3 linked regions of the Caenorhabditis elegans genome follow. The protein of the gene in region 3 interacts with the protein of the main gene of each other region in a pairwise test. Each region holds a gene or a part of one and is shown on either strand. Other genes may lie near its edges. The genes, in order: sax-7, rps-10 and pah-1.

The links.
Region 1: the proteins of pah-1 (region 3) and sax-7 interact in a two-hybrid assay, tested with the Caenorhabditis elegans proteins (one study listed by BioGRID).
Region 2: the proteins of pah-1 (region 3) and rps-10 interact in a two-hybrid assay, tested with the Caenorhabditis elegans proteins (2 studies listed by BioGRID).

Annotation. Positions count from the first base shown.
Region 1 is NC_003282.8:8,060,069-8,067,263, reverse strand, and holds the start of sax-7 (Neuroglian), read right to left. Parts: upstream 4,606-7,195; 5' UTR 4,533-4,605; coding exon 4,484-4,532; intron 4,164-4,483; coding exon 3,986-4,163; intron 3,650-3,985; coding exon 3,573-3,649; intron 3,235-3,572; coding exon 2,942-3,234; intron 400-2,941; exon of another isoform or gene 163-399; coding exon of another isoform or gene 76-162; intron 48-75; coding exon 1-47.
Region 2 is NC_003279.8:4,581,716-4,587,249, reverse strand, and holds rps-10 (Plectin/eS10 N-terminal domain-containing protein), read left to right. Parts: upstream 1-2,744; 5' UTR 2,745-2,758; coding exon 2,759-2,902; intron 2,903-2,954; coding exon 2,955-3,141; intron 3,142-3,189; coding exon 3,190-3,308; 3' UTR 3,309-3,377; downstream 3,378-5,534. Other genes in the region: D1007.10 (Gustatory receptor), read right to left, coding at 391-675, 726-976; rpl-24 (Large ribosomal subunit protein eL24), read right to left, coding at 1,112-1,198, 1,451-1,660, 1,706-1,807, 2,029-2,109; tmem-39 (uncharacterized protein), read left to right, coding at 3,446-3,691, 3,742-3,825, 3,877-4,061, 4,533-4,839, 5,225-5,534.
Region 3 is NC_003280.10:8,761,149-8,768,357, forward strand, and holds pah-1 (Phenylalanine-4-hydroxylase), read right to left. Parts: upstream 4,064-7,209; 5' UTR 3,924-4,063; coding exon 3,888-3,923; intron 3,793-3,887; coding exon 3,676-3,792; intron 3,268-3,675; coding exon 3,075-3,267; intron 3,023-3,074; coding exon 2,860-3,022; intron 2,748-2,859; coding exon 2,551-2,747; intron 2,501-2,550; coding exon 2,365-2,500; intron 2,190-2,364; coding exon 2,063-2,189; intron 2,019-2,062; coding exon 1,789-2,018; intron 1,744-1,788; coding exon 1,569-1,743; 3' UTR 1,474-1,568; downstream 1-1,473. Other genes in the region: nsph-1.1 (Nematode Specific Peptide family), read left to right, coding at 6,052-6,081, 6,149-6,307, 6,491-6,556, 6,686-6,955, 6,998-7,167. UniProt on the Caenorhabditis elegans protein: Catalyzes the hydroxylation of L-phenylalanine to L-tyrosine. Catalyzes the hydroxylation of tryptophan to 5-hydroxy-L-tryptophan. Plays a role in the biosynthesis of a melanin-like cuticle pigment.

The sequences.
Region 1 (7,195 bases), on a different chromosome or scaffold from region 3:
TCCGACTTGAAATCCGTTTCATTAACATAGTGAAAGAACAATGTGCCCTAAAAAGAAAAATGAAATGAAACTAACCACAAGGAACAGTAGACATCCTAGCAGGAATATGAAGGTTGTGGTATTCGGTGGTCCACCACGACCCATCGTCTCTCGTAACCCCATTGTGATGATGTTGAAAAGGGGTTTATTAGCTGAATATCATAGACTGTCTAGAAAAGCATCAAAAACAGTTTCAATGGAAAAAAGAGATACCCGAAACGGGGGAGACGTGATGGGACAAGTAAGGCGGGTAGTTGAGACGGGGGCTCTGGCAGTAGTGAGAAGGCGAAGAGGCACAGCACTGGCAGCAGTAGCAGCAGCAACCAGCAGCAGTAGATCTCTTTCTCTCTTTCCTATCTCTCACTTGCCCCAAACACAGCACTCGTATTTGTGTGTATTTCTATGTCTCTCTTCACTTCATCTCTTCCTCCTATTTTCTCTGAATTTCACGCTCATTTTCTCTGCGCACTCCTCCTTCTTTCATCTCATGGGTAACGCCTCCTTCTACCACCATCTACACCATCGCTACCACCAGAGAAGCACCAAAAGCGCCGCACGAGCACCCAAAATGACGCTTCCCTCCTTTTCTTCTACGCCTTCCTTTCCTTGCCGTCGTCGTCAACCCAATGGGGAATTACCTAGAGACGAAGCACAAGGAGAAGCTGAAGAAGAAGAATCGGTGAAGCATTGAAAAGAGAAAAGAGCAAAAGAAGATTATAATGGCTATGTTGGTGGTGGTGGTGGCAGTGGTCACTCAACTCATAATCGGTATAAAGTCAGGAAAGGTGAAAGGAAGAGGAAAAAGTGAATGAAGAAGTGCATCCGTCAAGGCGCCGCCACACCAAGGGCTTCAATTACGACACTAATCCGGATCGTACAAAAAGCTTCATATACTACGAAATAGATGAAGAATTTTAGAAAAAAAACAGCGCGAAATTGAAAGAAAAACAAGATTCACTTCATCTACACCATCACATTTTTCTATTTTGTAGCACGAAGAAAGCAGAATACTGTCTGATTGCTTTTTGTTGTTTGACTACAAAAACATTTCAAGTCATGCATTTTTCTGGAACGGAAATATAGAAAAAGCTTGGGCGAGTGTGGTTTTTTGTTGAAAAATTCACATTTTTGGCACATTTTGAAAATATAACGTCTTGAGAACAGACTTGTTATTAAACAGAAAAAATATAGAAAACTAAAATACGGTAGTCAGTCTCGACACGCCAATTTTTTTTAATACATCCAGGCGTGTGCCTATAAAGAGCACTGTAATTTCTACAATTTTCTTCGATTTTTCTTTTTTTTTCTCGATTTTTTGAAATTAAAATGTTATAAATCTTTTTGAGTTTTTTAATAAATAAATATTTGGCTATCAAAAAAAAAAATTTAAAACCACGCCCATTTTGGTACCGTATTTTTGGCTAAAAAATCGCAAAGTTTTGCGTATTAATTTTTGCGTACCATATTTCCGTTTAAGATTTTTATTTGATTGTTCAAAAATAAATTATTTTTATTATTCAAAGTTCAGGCGGTGAGTTTCGTAAAAGTGCAAGACTAATATAAAAACTATTTTTAAAAGCATACAAAAACAACTGCTTTTTGATTCGCTAAAAAAGTAAGCTTTTTCATCATTTAAAACAAAAAAATGGAGACAATTGAAAGGTCTCGTCAAAAAATTTCAATCAAATTAAGACGACAAAACCACCACTTAACAGCAGCTAATCTGTTTTTTCTTCGTTTCTCTCATTCCCGTTCTCTCCTCTCCAAATAGGTTCACACCAGTATCATCATCTTCGTTCATATTATGTGAGGCCACTTTTCACAATGTGTGAATGGAGGATAAAGCTCAAAGGGTTACTTCTTAGGAGCAGCTAATGTCTTTCTATCCACTTCAAAATATTCTCATTTCAACTGGTTAAACTTCAGAAGGTCATTTCTCATCCTTCAACCTCCGGGGGTATGTCTAACTAATTGCGATGGAGACGTAATAACAACGGAAAAAATGTTGCAAACTACTGAATTACGCAACGGAAAAATGGTGGCGGAAAGGTACAAATAGAAGTGGACAGGTGTTGTTGTAACGCAAAAAAAAACTTATTCATCTGATGGAGACGTCGGGAAAAGGGTCTGTATTATAGGGGTTACAATAGAATTTGGACATAGAATATAATAATAGTGAGAAGGGCGATGTATATTGGTATGATGTATGAATAGAAGGCAAGAATCGACAGAAGGACCTAATTGTTAGTACGTACACTAGAAACAGATACCAACTTAACAACAGGAAATTTTAGCATAAAAATGCCAAATGTAAAAATATAATTTGATTGCATATTTGTCGGATAAATTATCAATTCGTCGAAATAAGTGTTTAAAGCTGACCATCATATGCTATATTTTCAAACGTACTTTTCGTGAGAACGAAACAAAAATGCTTTAGATGTTGTCAAAAAAAATCAATTTGGCTTGGGAAAATGGGAAAGTAGTTTTCGAATTGGCTTTAAAAACGAGAATCGTCGAAATCATCCACGAGTTACAATTTCAAAATATAGAATCGAAACACTTTAAAAACTTCTGTTTGATTTGATTTTAATTGAAAAAAAATACATGGAAATTGAAGTTTTCTTTAGTATTTGAAGATTGGAACGAGCAGCAAATTTGAAACTTAATCGCAGAGATTATTCGTCTAGTTATTTTTTTTTCGAAAAATTGAATACGATACAGCCAGAAGCACTGAATAGTTTTTTCTTCAATCTTTCTCCAAAAATCGTTCAATTCTATGAAAATTGTTTGATTTTGGTTTACAAAGAACAGGGAGTGAATGAGAAAAGTTTTCTTGGCACAATGAGGTTACGAGAAACGATCTGTAAAAAGAATGAAAAAAAAAACTGTTATCACTCACTTGTTCATTGCTAGAAATATGACTACTACTGATAGTTTCGAAATGTCCCGGTTCTTTTCCCATAAGAATCCAATAAACTCTTGCGTATGGATTACTAGCAGGTGGAGAACAATTTCTTTGGTACGGATCTCCAACTTCGACAACTACAACTTCTGGTTCCGCAGTTTTGAAATGACGAATCCATGTTTCTTGTACACGGACAGGACGATCAACAGCTGTTCCATTCGAATTTTCAGCTTCACATTGATATAATCCGGCATCAGATTCATCAAGACGGGAGAACACAAGGCTTCCTGGAAAATGTCATATTTATTTCAGAACAGGTTTTCTGAAAAACCGAACTTTTTTTTAATGAGAAATCAATATTTCTCGGTTTTTAGGCCTAACCGAAAATTTCGATTTTTTTTGGATTTGAGGAAAAACTGTTTTCCTGTTTTTCCTGCATGTGGGAGTTTTATAATTGCACAAAAATAAAACAAATTTGTTTATATTTAAATGAAGTGAACTTTTTTCAAATCAGAATAATAATTTGAAACAAACATTTAACTATTCAGTTACTCCATCTTTTTAATTTCAAAAATGTTCCATATTCTCTCAATTTTAGATTTTTACAACAACAAAAAATATTCACCTTCTCCTGGTTTCTGAACAACTTTCTCCGGAAACATGGACGGCAGGAACGTCTTACCATCCTTTTTCCAACGATATCTGTAATAAAGAAAATAGTATAAAAAACATATTTTGAACACTTTTTAATTCTGGAAGTTGAAAAATAAAAATGCAAATGGAAACTGTTCGTAGAGCATAATGTTGAATTTTCAAATTTTTTAATGCTCCACCAAAACTGCCAAAAGGATTTTAAAGCAATTTTAGAAGCAGTAAAAAGACTTCGAATTTTTTTTCAAATTTAGATAGAAACTACCGTATCTTTCCCAATTAGTATTGCATGCAAGTCTAATTTTCAATAAAAATTATTTTAAGATATTTGAAGATTCATTTTTTTTTCTAAATTTTACTTTTTCAGAAACATTACAAAAAACTTACGAAGGCCTTGGATTTCCATTTGCATAGCAATGAATCGTTTGTTCGAGCAGATTACCGGGCGTATTTTTCGCCGATTCATCACTCATTCCACTTTTTTCGACTTTAAAGTAAACGGTATCTGCATTCTTATCGTGAACAAATTGTGGAGGAGTTTCGATCGCTGACCAATCTATGCTGCCTGAAACAGTTTTTATTAGAAATGTTGCTACATATATATGGATATTTGACAATTGTTTCTGTTATAGAAATATTTGTTTTTTGTTCATAAATTTGAGCACATCAAATGCTTTTCAGCGTTTTTCTCAATATTATTTATTTACAATTTTTTTCTATAAAAAGGCTTTGAATATCTTGATTCCATATTTATTTTCATTTTTGCCATTAAAAAACAACAAAAAAGGGCGTAAAATGATGTTGCAATCAAATATGTCAACATGAATCGCCAATCAAACAATTTTCGAAGCGATATGATGTCCTCGACGTCAAAAGAATTCTCACCTGATGATATGTGGCCAGTGAGTAACAAGAGGAATATGAAGCTCCTCATGATGGTGGTCTTTCGACGTGATCTAGAATCGCGTCGAACTTCGTTCGATACTCTTTTTCTATCCTGAAATTGGAATAAAGCTTGCGAAGAATTTTGAGAGAAGTTCGGAGAAAAAACAACGAGAAATGAAAAAAAAGGAAACGTTAAGAATTAAACAAACATGAATTAGTTTGAAAAAATAGAATCTTCCCTCAATTTTCAAGAAAATAATTGTACTACTACTTGTGCAAATGAAACTATTCTCGTACAAAATCTGATTCATCTTTAAAATTTCGAAAATTGGGATTACATTAAAACCGGAAAATAAACGAAAGACTTTAAAATCAGAAGAATGAAATAAAGAACTTCTTATTTTGTCTAGGTTTCTCCTTTTCCCGATTATGCAAATGAAAAAAAGCGAGAATTCATGGGAATCTACCCCGCTGACCGAAAAGTGACCATGAGGAAGCACGTTGGATTAACGATGAGAATAAGAAATTAAATCTGTTGTTTGATTCATTACGAAAATAAAATTAAGAGAAAAAAGTTTCGAAAATTATCAACAAAAAAAGTTATTTTTAAAAAAGTACAGACAAAAACATAAGGTGGAAAAAATGGAATGCAAGATGAGAAAAGAAGGGCATGAGGAGAAGTCAACGGGGGTGATAGATGTATTCGTTGACAGTCCACACACACACACACACACACACACACAGAACCGACGCAATCTGCGCATGGCGGTAGCCGATGGCATTGTACTTTACCGGTTGTCTCGTTTTTTTTTGCAATCAGAACGAGAGCTGCTCCATTCTTCAGAAGCGGCCGTTCTTCAAGGACGTTTTCAGGAAAGAAAAGGAAAAAAGAAAAATGCGTTCGCGTCACGCTACTCGATTTTTGTTGCTCAAAATGTTCTACGCACGAGATGTCACCTATGAGACGTATGGATGCGTGGGTAAAAGAATAACAAGACTTCAAAGATTCTGGGCCACAAATCATTTACGACAGAAAATAGGTGATTTTTATCCGAAAAAAGCTAAATTTTCAACACAGCGCGTCTGAAACATTCAAAACGGGAACATGATCAGGTTTTTAACGGAAAATGTGATTTAAACGTTATTTCGAATCGAAAACGACTTTCAGATGTTTTAATTTACTTTTAGACTAATAAATTTTGTAGTTTTACAAGTAAAAACACTAGAAAAACAGAGAAAATTCAGAGTTTTCGTTAAAAATCGTTTTGGCGGCGAAACAAAACAAATGCAAGTACTGTAGCAAAGGCGCGCAACAGAGCGCACATGCTCGGGTCTCGAAACGATTGCAAAATTTCTGGTCTACCTTTCGATCAAGCCTAGTTTCTCTATTGAATTATTCGTTTTTTCTTTGGATAACGCGATTTAAAAATTTTTTTTAAAAAAATTATTTCTAAAATAAAAAAATACAATTCAGTTTCATCGACTTGGAGACATGAAATTTTTGATGCGAAAAAAAAACCTGTGACACCACAGACTATATACTTCCGGAGCATTGTGCTAAGTCGATCGGACAGATTTCTCGAAATCCTTTCGTCCGCATTACTCTCTATATGTCACGGAAGAAGGTCGTAAAATGAGTGTGTCTCTGAGCCAAAAGAGGTCTGGTTATTTCTCCAAATTCATAAAATTTGGATTTGGCAGTTCACTCTCTTTTCCTCATTATTCATAACACATCAATCTTGCTTTCATGAACACCGCCACGATGAGCAGATCAAGCAGAACATAGAGAGTAGCTTCAACAGCAGTGAACATCAAAAAGAATGAATTATTAAATAAAGTTGCTATAGAGAAATGAGAAGGCACGCTTTAGATGTATCAATATAAGGATGGGTAGGGGAAAAAGAGGGTATCTTCCGTTTTCTACAGCGGTCGGTCGGGACGGTAATAAAACAAAAAGGACAGAAGACGAACACCCGAATCGTCACAGATGAATTGATGCTGCCACCCATCACGATAATCCTATCAAGATAAAAAAAATAACAGTCTTACAGAAATTTATAGCCATTTTTTGGTTTTTGGATTAACAGTATGAATTTCGGGATTTCTTTTTACACCTCTTCGAATCAACAGATCTTTCACATCTTTTCCCTGTGAGACGCATGATATTTTTCAGAAATTTTAAAAATTGTTTTCTTTAACTTTCTCGTTAAATAAAAAAAAAATTCTTCACGAGATTTCAGTCTCCCTCCATTAACAAAATGGAAGAATGGCCGTGAGAAGGTTGCAAACCTCTTCCACGAGCATAAGTAAGTTTGAAACATTTGTGAGACGCAGACAAGTTTCAAATGAACGTTTGTAACACTATAATAATACTTTCTAACTGTGATGGACATTGGAAGCCCTTCAGGCTTGTTTTAAAAAGTTAGTTCTGTGACCTGAACAAATCAATTGAACATTACGTACAAGACTACAAGAGACTTAAGGCATCCTAGTATTTCTGAATATTATCTGAAAATTAGTAAAAATCCCATGACTCGTGGCTTTTAGTGATAAATGAATGAGAGGAGAGAATAATAAATTATGAAAACAGTGAAGCGAGTGGTCGAATGAACGGTGGGAGGAGTTATTTGAACCGAAAAAGTATGACTCATTCCTATTTTTTTTTTCAAAAAATGAAAAATGTTAACTGAAAGAAAAAGGCCAAATATTTTT
Region 2 (5,534 bases), on a different chromosome or scaffold from region 3:
AGCCCCCTTGTTGGGTCATTTCCACGTGAGAAGGCTGTGCGCGAAAATATTTTGTAGCGAAAACTACAGTAACTATTTAAATGACTACTGTAGCGTTTATGTCGATTTACGGGCTCGGGTTTCGACATGAGTAAAAATCGTTTTTTTTTAATTTACAGAATATTAAAACTTAGCAAAAAAAACTTATTACGAAGAAACGAAGGAAAGTAGAATATCGATGTCACAATTCGGAAAGAAATTCACTTCGAAAATCGACACAAGCACTACAGTAGTGATTTAAAGAATAACTGTAGTTTTCGTTACGAGGTATTTGCGCGTCAAATATGTTGCACACTACGAATTCTCAGAATTTTGTGTTCCCGGAATAACTTTATTTTGTCTGAAACTAACTTATCCGTCTGTGCAAACGGTGGAACTATGCAAAAGCACAGTACTGCGAGCTTTTCTTGTGTAAACTCTCTGATGCATCTCGCCCATTCAACAGATTCCGCATCTTCCAGCTGATTCAGCACTGACAATCTTTTAATGAGATTTCCCATTCTTCGAATCACCAGAAACCAGATCACTGTTAAACAGAATACCATAAAGCATGCACACATCACAAATCGTTTCACGAGAAGAGCTTCATCGATCACGTGCAGAAAAGGAACTTGTTCGCTTAGAAATCGAGTGAGACTGAATTTTTGAAACCATATTATCCTTTTTAATAAGTCCAGAAAACTAACTATCTTTTGCTGAAAAATGTAGTGAATTTTGCTTTCAAAATATCAAGATCTAAAGAGTCGTTTCGAACTAAAAGCCCACGATTCCTATTGCTGACGGTGACATCACATAGTTCATCGGAGTTGATGATCCCCTCGAGAGAATCCGAATTTAAATTCCTTATGTCTATCGGAATTTCTTCAATCAGTCGGTACATATAAATGGCGAACCCAACAGTAAGAACACTGTACTGGGCTATTCGAAGAGTCCTCATTCTAAACAAACTCAAATGAACAGATTCGGATAGTTCTGTTAAAATAATAATTTGAGAATACTTTTCTTGTTGGATGTCTTGCATTAAAACTTTAACGGTCAACAAAATTTATTACAATAACGGGACCGAGAACGTTTATCGCTTTCCTCCGACACGTGGAGCAGCAGTCTTCACATTCTTGGCGGTCTTTTGCTGGGTCTTTGGCTGAGAGGCCTTCTTTTCCTGAAAACCAATGATAAAGAATTGACAAAATTAACTTGTTTTTAAATTTCATGCATATGGTAAATTGTCGGACTTCACACGAGACATGCTTATTGATATTACAGCTTCAAATAACTTGAAGCAATAATACCAACACATGGCAATTGTGCCCGTCCTTTGCTTTTGCAATACTTCAACACTCGTAAAATCACATATACCTTACAAGCTCTAACAGCATGCTAAAGTTTATAATAAATATTGTAGAAAGTTTACCTTGTTGGCAGCAGCCTTGGCGGCACGGACAGCCTTGTTGGCATCCTTGGCGATCTTAGCGGCTTGTTCACGCTGTTGGCGACGGAAGTCTTCGGTCTGGTTTCTCTTGGCAAGGATAGCATCAAGGGAAAGTCCAGCGACGGCGCGGTTAACAACCTGGACGGACTTCTTGGTCTTCTTTCTGGTGACTTGCTCTTGTCCGTGGGTTCCCTGTAAAATTACCAATTTTCAACTGCGTTTAAGGATCTCAAGTACCTTCTTGTTCTTGATTCTGTAGAGGACAGTCCATCTGATGTCACGTGGGTTACGGCGAAGCTTGGCTCCCTTGAGTGCCTTTCCACTGAGGAAGATTTGGACCTGAAATTTGAATAAATAAATCATGAAACGGTAGTTTGTCGCACTCAACACGTGGCATGCTTAACGATGGTATAACTTCTAAAAACTAGAAGATATAGCACCAACACATACATAAGGTGATTATGCTTTACTTTTGCAATACTTCAACACTCGTAAAATTACAATATACCTTACGAGCTCTAACAGCATGCTAACGCCTTTCAAAGAGAAACTGAACTCACCTTTCCGTCAGTACGGACAAGTCTCTTTCCGTGTCCTGGGTGGATCTTGTATCCGGAGTAAACGCAGGTTTCGACCTTCATTGTTGATAGGCCCTCGCTTGACGAATCTGAATTTCAACATTTTTGAGATAAATTTAGGATAAAGTAAAATCAACGACAATTATCAAGGATCTGTTTGTAGCTTATAAAAATAACGAATTTAATTTCCAATAATCAATTATTCCCAAAATTAAAACATTCGTGAACAAGGAGTTGGGATAGGCCTCGAAAAAAAAACGAAAAAATTCTTTCCTCTCTTCAAAACTCCTCTAATGCAAAAGATAGGGGCGCTACGCAGCAAGAGTACGGTAACACTCGTTTCGGCTGTGCGAATTTAACCAAAATCACTTGTTTCTCTGTGTCGCTGCGTGTGTGCCCCTATGTAATGCATTAGTCGGAAGAATTTCGTTGTACCTCTTTTCTTTCAATTTTTTTTTCCAAAATCCCGTTTCTTTGAAAATTTAGTGACTTATTGTGTTAAAAAAGTGAAAATTTATACTCTAATAAGCAATCAATCCTGAATTTCCAGGTGGAATTCTGTTGAGTCCCAAAAATAATGCATCTCAATCGATTTTTCTTGTTTCTGCCCTACTTTTGAAGATTCCTCCAATCGCCAAAAAATCTCTTCCTATTTCGTAAAAAATTGTGCATTGTTATAAATTGTGTATTTGTTTCAGAACTTGCGGTCATCATGTTCATCCCGAAAAGCCACACCAAGCTCATCTATGAGTACCTCTTCAACGAGGGAGTGACTGTCGCCAAGAAAGACTTCAATGCCAAGACTCACCCAAACATCGAGGGAGTTTCCAACCTTGAGGTCATCAAGACTTTGAAGGTGAGTTATTTTTCCCATAATTAAAAAAATCAATAATCTATTGTGATTACAGTCTCTTGCCTCCCGCGAGTTGGTTAAGGAGCAATTTGCCTGGCGCCACTACTACTGGTACTTGACCGACGCCGGAATCTTGTACCTCCGTGAGTACCTCGCTCTTCCAGCTGAGATCGTCCCAGCCACCATCAAGACCAAGCCAAGAGAGATCCGTGTCCCACACGAGGATAGAGCCCCACGCGCCGGTAAGTTTTGTCCTACAAGTACTTTTATTGATTGCTGAAAATATTCAGCTCAAGGCGAGAAGGGAGACCGTGAAGCCTACAGAACCGAGAAGGTCACCGAGGCTGGACCAGGAGGAGCCCCAGTCTACAGAGCCGGATTCGGCCGTGGAGCCCCACCACCACAATAAATGTTATTGTTTTTCTAATGAAATTGTTACATCAAAAGTTGAATTAATACAATAAACAAAACGGTGAATTTTCCATCAACAAGTACATTGTCACTCTGCCTAGAATCGTAATACATTTTGTGGAATTTAAGTAAGATATGCCGCCTCGAAGACGAGTGCCGGCACCTCCACCACAAGCTCCTTCCGTGCCAGCTTCAATCCCAAGAGCGAGTGGTGTAACGCTTTCCGTCCATCCTATATGGCCGGATATTCAGTTCACACAAGGAGAGCTATTTTTCGAATGCACTTTGTTTTTATATTCAGTATTGGCTTTATTTTTACAATATCTGAATATATACAAAACTCTTTGGTGGCTTCCGAAGTCGTATTGGCATTATTCACTTGTAAGTGTGAAAAAGGATAACAGGAAATTCAATATGTCCATTATTTTCAGAAATTCCATCTCATAAATCCATATTTCCTGTCATGTGTTGGCCTTTTACTTGGCTGGAGGGTAACCGTCTGTTTCTGGAAAACGGTAATGCCTTACATTTATTAAAATAGAAATCAATAATAAAGAATTGTGCAGATAACTGAAGTGATCGCCACAATATCCGCCAACCAGTCGCAGTTTATTCAGTCGAGCCTGATGATTGTAGAATATGCAGCAATTAAAACACCAGTGATGACACTGATCATTACGAGCTTCCTTTTCAGTTTTAATCGAGTCTGTCACGATTTTCCGAGTAGATCTGTGCTTTGGTTTTTATTTCCGTAAGTTGTCGGATTTTTGCAAATACACAGTCAAATTGACCTATTGCGCCATCTTGTTTCAGCATTTTTTATTAGAAATTAGTGTCAAAGTATAGAAAATCACTTTGTTTAAATATATTAAAATATAATTTATTTCAGTTTAAACAAAGAAATGCTTAAAAATGACCTGAAAATTGCAAATTTGTCGATTATCGAATTATCGAGCATTGTTTTTAGGCAATTGACAAGTTTCAGGACATTTTTGTGCATTTTTTGAGATGCTTACATTTAAATGAATGATATTTTAAAATAAATAAAGTGATTCTCTATTCTAATGAAAGCTTTTGGAACAAAATGGCGCAATTGGTCATTTTGGATAATCCAAACATCGATAAAAAGACCAATTAATCCAACTCATAGAAAAGTTAATAAAGAATCGATAAAATTCAACTTATTTAATAAATTATTTAATATTTAATAAATTTGTTTCAGAATCTTATTCTACGCCTTCATTTTCCGATCTGAAATCATCGGATGGCTCGGACGGTTCCGTGAACAAATTGGAAAATGGCGACGACGAGAAATCGAATTCTCAGATGTTTGTGAACGTCTTTCGGAGTCACCACCTGCCCAAATTGATTTAGAATCAGTATTACACATGTGCAGTGATAGTCCAGCTCAAATTCGTGAAGAGATTCAAGTTCTTATCGATGACCTGGTGCTCAGAGTCAAAAAAAGCATATTTGCAGGAGTTTCCACAGCGTTTCTCAGTATTATGCTTCCATGCATTTTCGTGCCCGTAAGTGCCTTCAGTAACCTGTACACAGAGAAAGAAGCGGAACTTAATTTCGCAACCCTGCGGCACGGTCTTTTGATTTTTTTTTTCAATAAAATTTCGATTCTGCCTGTTTTATTTCCTTTTTTGATTGGAAATTTTATTAATTTTAGTTCTTATAGGATTTTGAGGATATTTCATGCTAAATTGGTTGTAAAAACATGAAATATCCTTAAAATCTTATGAGAATTATTCAAATTTAATAACATTTTCGTTCAAAAAAAAAAAAAAAGGCAAAATCTGAATTTTATTTTCAAAAAAAGCAACAAAAAGCCGTGCCACACGGTTAAGAAACCCCGGCTTTTTTGCAAAATTCACCGATCGATTACTAAATTCAACGATTTTTCAGTTCAAAACAAGCCAAGGAATCCCACAAAAAATCCTCATCAACGAGGTATGGGAATGTCAACTTGCAATTGTCGTCGGATTGACTGCCTTCTCTCTCTACGTGGCATATCTATCTCCTCTAAATTATTTGGATCTTCTACACCGAGCAGCTATTCATCTCGGATCTTGGCATCAAATTGAAGGTCCACGAATTGGCCATACTGGAAGTATGAGCTCGGCTCCAACGCCATGGAGCGAGTTTTGTCTCTATAATGACGGAGAGACTGTTCAAATGCCGGACGGCAGGTGCTATCGAGCCAAATCTTCGAATT
Region 3 (7,209 bases):
CACTGTAAAACAGGAAAAGAAATGTTTTTTTGTTGAAAAAATTTTCCAGTTGATTTTTTGTCAATTAAAGTATAATTGGGAAAATTCTAAAGAATTAACATAATTTAAAATGTTCGTGTTTTAGATATAATTTTGAGTTTTTTTAAAAATGTTTTTCATCTGATTCTGAAAAAAGTTTATTTGATAGACAAAAAAAACTATAAAAAGCTGACCGTCTTCCATTCCAAATATGAAAAATAATAAAATCGTGGGTCGAGGGAAAGAGGGAAAATATTCGATTGAGAATGCAAACAGTGTGCATGTTCACACAGCTGGCAGTACTATATGTTTCCAATTATTTTATTCTATCAAAATCATATTTTAATAGTGAAACAATTGGTTAAACAAAAGGATTACTCTTTGAAGATTTGCAAAAAATTAAACAAAAAATACACCCGAATGTATTATTTGGCCAATCTTTAAAGTAAAATAGATGGTACTTGTGTATTATTTCCCCTCATTTTTAAATTCCATATATTTATCCATTTTAATAAAACATGATGTTCATTTTCCCTCTTTACGGTTATTTCCTGGTTATGGTTAAAATATTAAAACTTATTTTTTAAAAATAAGGGAAATAATACACAAGTGCCAACTAGATACTAAAATTGGGAAAATTGATGTTTTGATTAAACACAAATTCAATTTAATTTCCAAAAAAAATGAATTGAAAAGGAGTTGAAAACGCATGCTTGTAATAATCATGATAAGAAAGGAAGACAACATAAGAAGAAAAAGAATTGATTAAATGTACGTGGAGCCGCACCTTTAAAATGATAACAAAGTGCACATACAAATGTTTCACTAGACCTCTACATTTGCATAACCTAGTTTTGAGAACTCAGTGCCAGTTTTTACTTCTTTTTGCAGATGAAGTCAAAAGCACTTCATTTTGGACACACAACGAGACTTCCGTACAACACACACACACACACAAAAACTAAACAATAATCAAAAATGCATGACAATTTATATGCACAGTTTTCGTTTTTCGCAGTTAGATCACTCACACCAAAACACTCGCTGTCGTAGATGACGTGGTTTTTGCAACAAAAATGGATAACTGGCTTTAATTTGGGAAACATTTTGGTGCTCACACCAATTTTTCGCACTTTTTTCATGTGATGCTTCAAATAAAGTAATTGCTGAAAAGGAAATCGTTTCAGATGCCGGAAAAATGTTGGAAAAATACGCGTTAATCCTGGCGAGAGAAAAAAAACAAAACAATTGGAAGTGAACAAGGCTTCGAATTGTTTATTTTCATTTCAGTGCATTGCTTCCAACGACGGTGAACACTATTTTTAATTAATTAGTTTTCACATTTCCCTGTTTTCAAGGAGTTAAGGGAATATGATATGTTTTTTAGAACAGTCATCATAGTTGTAACTCCATCGTAGGTAGTTTAAAAATCGTCTGTAAATCGAGCAGCATGGACAAATTTGTAATTGTTGTTCAGGTTTCTTTGTAATTCAACAAACATTGAGAACAATGTACATTTATTCTTGCAAATTAACAATTTAATCAAAAAGTCACTTCATCTTGAGATTGTTCACTTTTCCAAGAGCTTCTTCCAAAGTAGAAATATCACTTCTGATGTCTCTTGCGAGACGTTGAAGTGCTGCTACCTTGTCGAGAATTTCAACTCGTTGAGTGTAAGCATTATAACGAATTTGGAATGGACGATTGATGGTAGCTGCCCATGATCTGAAATTATCTAGATTACAGTTGAAACTGACTATTTGATCCTACTTAAGTTTGTTCTTAGCACTTGCAAATGATTCAGCTAAGAAATACTTTGGCTGATATTCTGTGATTGGATATTTGGTGACACAACATACAGCTGGATCAAAATCTACAACTTCCGGCTTATCACTCAACGCATATTGAAGCTCTCCAAATGAACTCAAAAGTCCGGCTCCGTAAGCTTTTTTCTCCCCATCTTGTTGACAGATTCCAAATTCGATTGTGAACCAGTAGAGCTAATATTTCAAAATAAAAAGGGGGTTTCAATGTTCAAACATACTGTGGCAAGTTTTTCAATAACATCATCTGGAGCTCCAAGAGAAGCAAGACCGATTTCCTGTGAGAATTGTGCAAATTCAACATCAGCAAATAGTGGAACATGTCCCAGAAGCTCGTGGCAGATATCTCTGAAAGTTACATCTCCAGCTTATTGTCAAAAATTCAGAATATATCCAGATGATAATCAACCGATTAGATTTTATTTTCCTTTTATGTTGCACTATAGAGTTTTCACAATTTTTTCAAAGCAAAAGTCGTTTACGAAATCCCACCCTCGGTTAAAATTATCATGTTCAAACTCACGGTTCAGGTGTGTATTTTGGAGCGGAATGATGGCGAATGTATTGTGTGGAATGAAAAACACGGAAGGCCAAACCAGCCAAGAAATCACGAGAAGAAAGAAGACCAGCGACTGGTCGAATCGTGTACCCGGTACAATCTGAACACGAAACAAATACAAAAACAATCAGATGATAATGATTTGTTTACCCTTCAAAAAATCTGAAACATCCTGCAATTGTGGAATGCGGTCAGGTCCAAAACCACAATTCTGCTGGAGGAGTGGGAATATGTAGTTGAACTCTTGGCAAGCGTTTTTCGGGTACATAACTGTCAGCTCGTTGTAGACTGTACGCCACGTGGCAATTTCTTCATCAGTGTAGGTGATAGTAGGGATCTTGTCTCCGCTGGAAAGTACGATCAGGTTGCAATTCGGATTTTTTGGATTTTATTCAGTACGCCTTCAATGTTACATATTTATTGGCACATATTGCTACTTTTGTTGATGAAATGACTTACTGTTTGAAGTTGAATGCAATATCGGCGAAAAACTTTCTGCGCTCGCGGTAGGTCATGTCCTTAAATCCAGGGTGATCGGCATCAAGCTCAGCTCCATAAGAAAGAATTCTGTTGGCAAATTGATCGATGTCGTTGATCTTCTGTGGGAACCATGGAACAGAATCTACAAAGCTCTTGAATTTAATACTGTGAGTTTCATTATTGTTATAGCGTACCCTTGTTTTGTTTGTTTTTGGTGTTCCAGTCTTGAACAAGAACCTTCTTTTCAGCTTTTTGTTGGAAATGCTCAATAACTCCTTCAATCTTACGATGGTCTTCAGCTTCAGCAAATTCAACGAGCACCTCATAGCATCCTTCATGAGTCTTTGATGGTCTTGATTCAATGTGAGACAGATTCACATCATGTGCCTGCAAGAATGTGTAATGAAGCATGTAATTGGTAGGAATTTGAGACAATTGATATGATCTCTTTTTCTCGTGACACGATTTTCGACATCTTTGATAATCAAAAATCGCGAACCGGATTAAAAAATGCAACTACGTAGTTTATCTCTTATCATATTTAGAAACAGTTTGGTGCAAATTTTCAAATTTTAATTTGATATAAATGTTTTTTCTATGTCTACTCAACCGTCTAAACATAATTGAAGATCATATTATTCAACGCTTTATGATGCATAAAATATTAAACCGCCTGATCAAGAGTAGACGTGAGAATCATAAGATTTAAAAAAAAAAGTGTCGCTGACGCAATAGTCATCCTCTGAAGTCTCATGATCCTCTGACATTTCTAGTCTGGTTTTTTTCATGACTAACCTGGAACAGCTTCAATGTTTCAGCGAGAGCTCCTGCCTTTTCACGAAGAGTGAATACGATAGTAGTCTTGCCAATGTCGGCGTTGACGTCAGCAACGTACGATTCCATGGCGTACTTCTGAAATAAGTTGGACTTTAGTAATTGGAAATAATTTTACACAAAATTCTCAAACAGAAGTTTTTCTTGATCAGTTCAAACAAGGAAGGTCTCACCAAGAAGTCAAGATCATCTTGTCCAGCTGGTGGCATTTTCAGAGAACAAGATTTGGTTTTCAGAGGAATAGACAGTCACCGGGAAATAAGAATTAAACAGAGACAAAACGTGAGCCGTACGTTGCCGTTTATACGAGACGAAATAGCTGGAGACTCAGAAGCCTAGAGATACAAGGCGTGGCCTATGAACTAGATAATTCGTGTGGCCCCCAATACCATTCTGCAGAGAAAAATCCACGTGGGAGGAGACTCGCGGCTACCCATACACAACCTACACGTGGGTTTTCATTAGAGTGTAGTGTGAGATAGAAGAACGGTTGGAAGAAATTGAAAAAAATACGAAGAAGAAGAAGAACAGTCAGATGATGAACTTGAAAGCACGTGGAAAATGATATGAAATAGATCACAGACAAATGGACGCCTGAACAATAAAAGATATGATTATGATCAATGAAATACAGTTTGAACTTCCAAAAGAAAGCATGCCCCAGTGGATCTTCTTCGTAAAATAGATGTAAATCTCTGTTTCTAGTTGAGTTGAAATTTAAGACGTTGGGTATGAATTGGATTGTAGGCCTTTTCAGGCGTATGTGCTTACATACAGTCATTTTTCAATTTCAATTAATTGATGAAGCTTAAATATGGATAGTGGAATGTTTCATTTTTTCACGATGCTGAAAAAGGGGAAACTGAAACAGGTTTTTTTTGTTGAGTAAATTTACCGAATTTGGAGTCTTACGACTGCCTTGTGACGAGCCTCGTTCAAAACTTTTTTTCAACTTCCTCAAATTTCTCGAATTTTAGTTTTTGACCTTAAACAGACATTTCAATGGTTTTGATTGAAGAAAAAACCAAGTTTTCTTTGAAACGATCAAATGGGTTACGGTAAAAGCCATAAAATCATGGTGTATCGAATCGAAAGTAGGAGGGGGACGCTGAGAAAAATCAACAGAACACAATAATGAAAACTGGTTGACGCATCCTTTGTATTGTGAAAAGGAAGGAAAATGAGATGAGATGAAGACGTGGAATATTTAGATGGAAATATATAGGAGGACGTTTGGTTGAATGTCTGACATTTTAGGATGATAAATTTAGAAGAAAGAAATTTATATGAATGGATGAGACAAGACGATGTCATAAATCAGTTTGAAAACGGCAGAAACGATCAATAGTTGATGATGTCCGACTGGCTTTTATCAACTTTTCGTGAAAATTTTCGTTTGCAACGCGAATCTTCTGCAGACCATGATCTGAGATGTCTATGTCAATGAGGTAAATAGGAACAGTAATACAGCATTGAAACAATTAATTTAGTCGATGGTTGATCATAAAAAATGGAGAAATTTTGAAAATACTCGTGTACGAGATCAACTGATCAGCGACGGTTTCGATGAAAACAGGGGAAAATATAAGGATGATAACACTTTTGAAGATAGCAAAATATTTTGGTTCAAACAGTTTTTAATTAATTGAAATTATTTAACAATTTTCTAATAGTATGATAACAAATTCTATAATTTTTTTTAATAATTTCCGTAGTTTTGACCAAATTTTTGTTTAGATTGTAACTTCCACGGATATCACGTATACTTTGGCAATAGAGGCTGGCATAGGCCGCCTGGTAGGACTTTGTATTTATGTATTTTCAGCTGTTACCCTCTTTTTGAAAAATTAAAGTATGGCCGAAAAAAAGTATTTTTAAAATATTCAAAATTAGCAAATTGATTTTTTTTTTCAGATAATTTGGCAAACATCAGTTTCTTATTACAAATGCAAATGTTTGACGTTGGACTAGTATAAATAAAGAGCTCGATGTACAAAAATTATATCATAATATTGAGAAAAATGGATCAAACATACCTTTCTAATTTCATCAATATTCATCCTTATATAGCTGGACTCAACAGACCAATAATATAACTGATGGAATGTACGAAAAAGGAAAAGGAAGGAGGTACTGCCGGGATAATCATCAGTTTACGTTATCATCTTATATCTTGAATGCACCGAGTCGCGTGGAAGATATCCAATCTGACCTTCCATTTTTATCTATATTTTAAATAAATTTAAATAAACTTGTTCAGCAGAAAACTCGTTATTACGTGAACCAGATAGAAAAAAATGGTCGGAACAGTGAAATCAAATCAGTTTTAAATTTTTAATGGATAGGAAAGGGTTCACAATGGAAAAGGTGAGTGGCTTTCAGTTATTTGATGGCTATTGCACGCATTCAAACATTCTGCAAGTGATTTATTCAGGGAAACATAGACGATATTTGGACATTACAAAAAGTTGGCACACCTTTTCCACCAAATGTTGCAAAAGCTCCTGGTGAGACAAATAAGTACGTCGCATTATGGTATAAACACGGAAAACCAGTGATGGGCAGAGCTTGGAACGATTCTGGAGTGGTGAAGGTAAACTGGAAAAATAACTATTCAGAAATTAAAAATAGACTTCCAATTATTTGAACTTGCAAGTATGCAAGTTCGCCTGCATAAAAGGTAACTTACAAGCGGTATTAAAATATTAAAATACAAAAAAATATGGAGAGCCACCACGAAGTTTTGATTCCTTGGCCAATCAATCCAATTTTACAGGGAATTTTACCAACGGTAGATATGTGCTCTGGAAAGCTGGATCGATTTGCCAAGTTTCAACTCATCGTTTGTTGCATATTTGCTATTGATATGTTAGGCTCACTTGATATTTTAGGGAAAATTTTCCTTTAAAAAATAAACTAGGAAATTCTAAGACTATATAATAAAAAATATCCATTTAATCCAACTTTTCAGTGCATGTTTGTTCTCGATGATAAGATATATAGTGGAGCAGATGTCGGAGGAAGCATTCAATTACTTATTCTCGATCATATTGAAAAATCAAAATCATTTCATTATGATTGGGTAAACTTCAAAAAAGCACAAAGTTTGACAATTGAAGGAAAATATGAAATGGTTCGATGTGAATACAGTGCATCAATGTATTGGCCGGAGCATGGACTATTAGGATGCGTGAACACAGAGAAGCTTGTCGCACATTTTGTTGATAACGAAATGCAAATTGTTGGTTTTTTATTTAAACGCTTATTTCATCTATTAGTTCAGAAAACCACCAAAAAGTTGGAACATCTTTTGGTTCTGTGTAAGATTGCTGGATCAAGAGACGCGACTGAAAAAGAAAAGGAAAAGGGTTCCACTGGAAGTGCTTCAAAGTTATTGACAGTCGTCAACGATTGGGAGGATTTCAATTGGGGAAGTGCGTGGCCATCCAATAAGTGAGTAGCTTTATATTTGCCTATTTATTAACATTTTCTAGG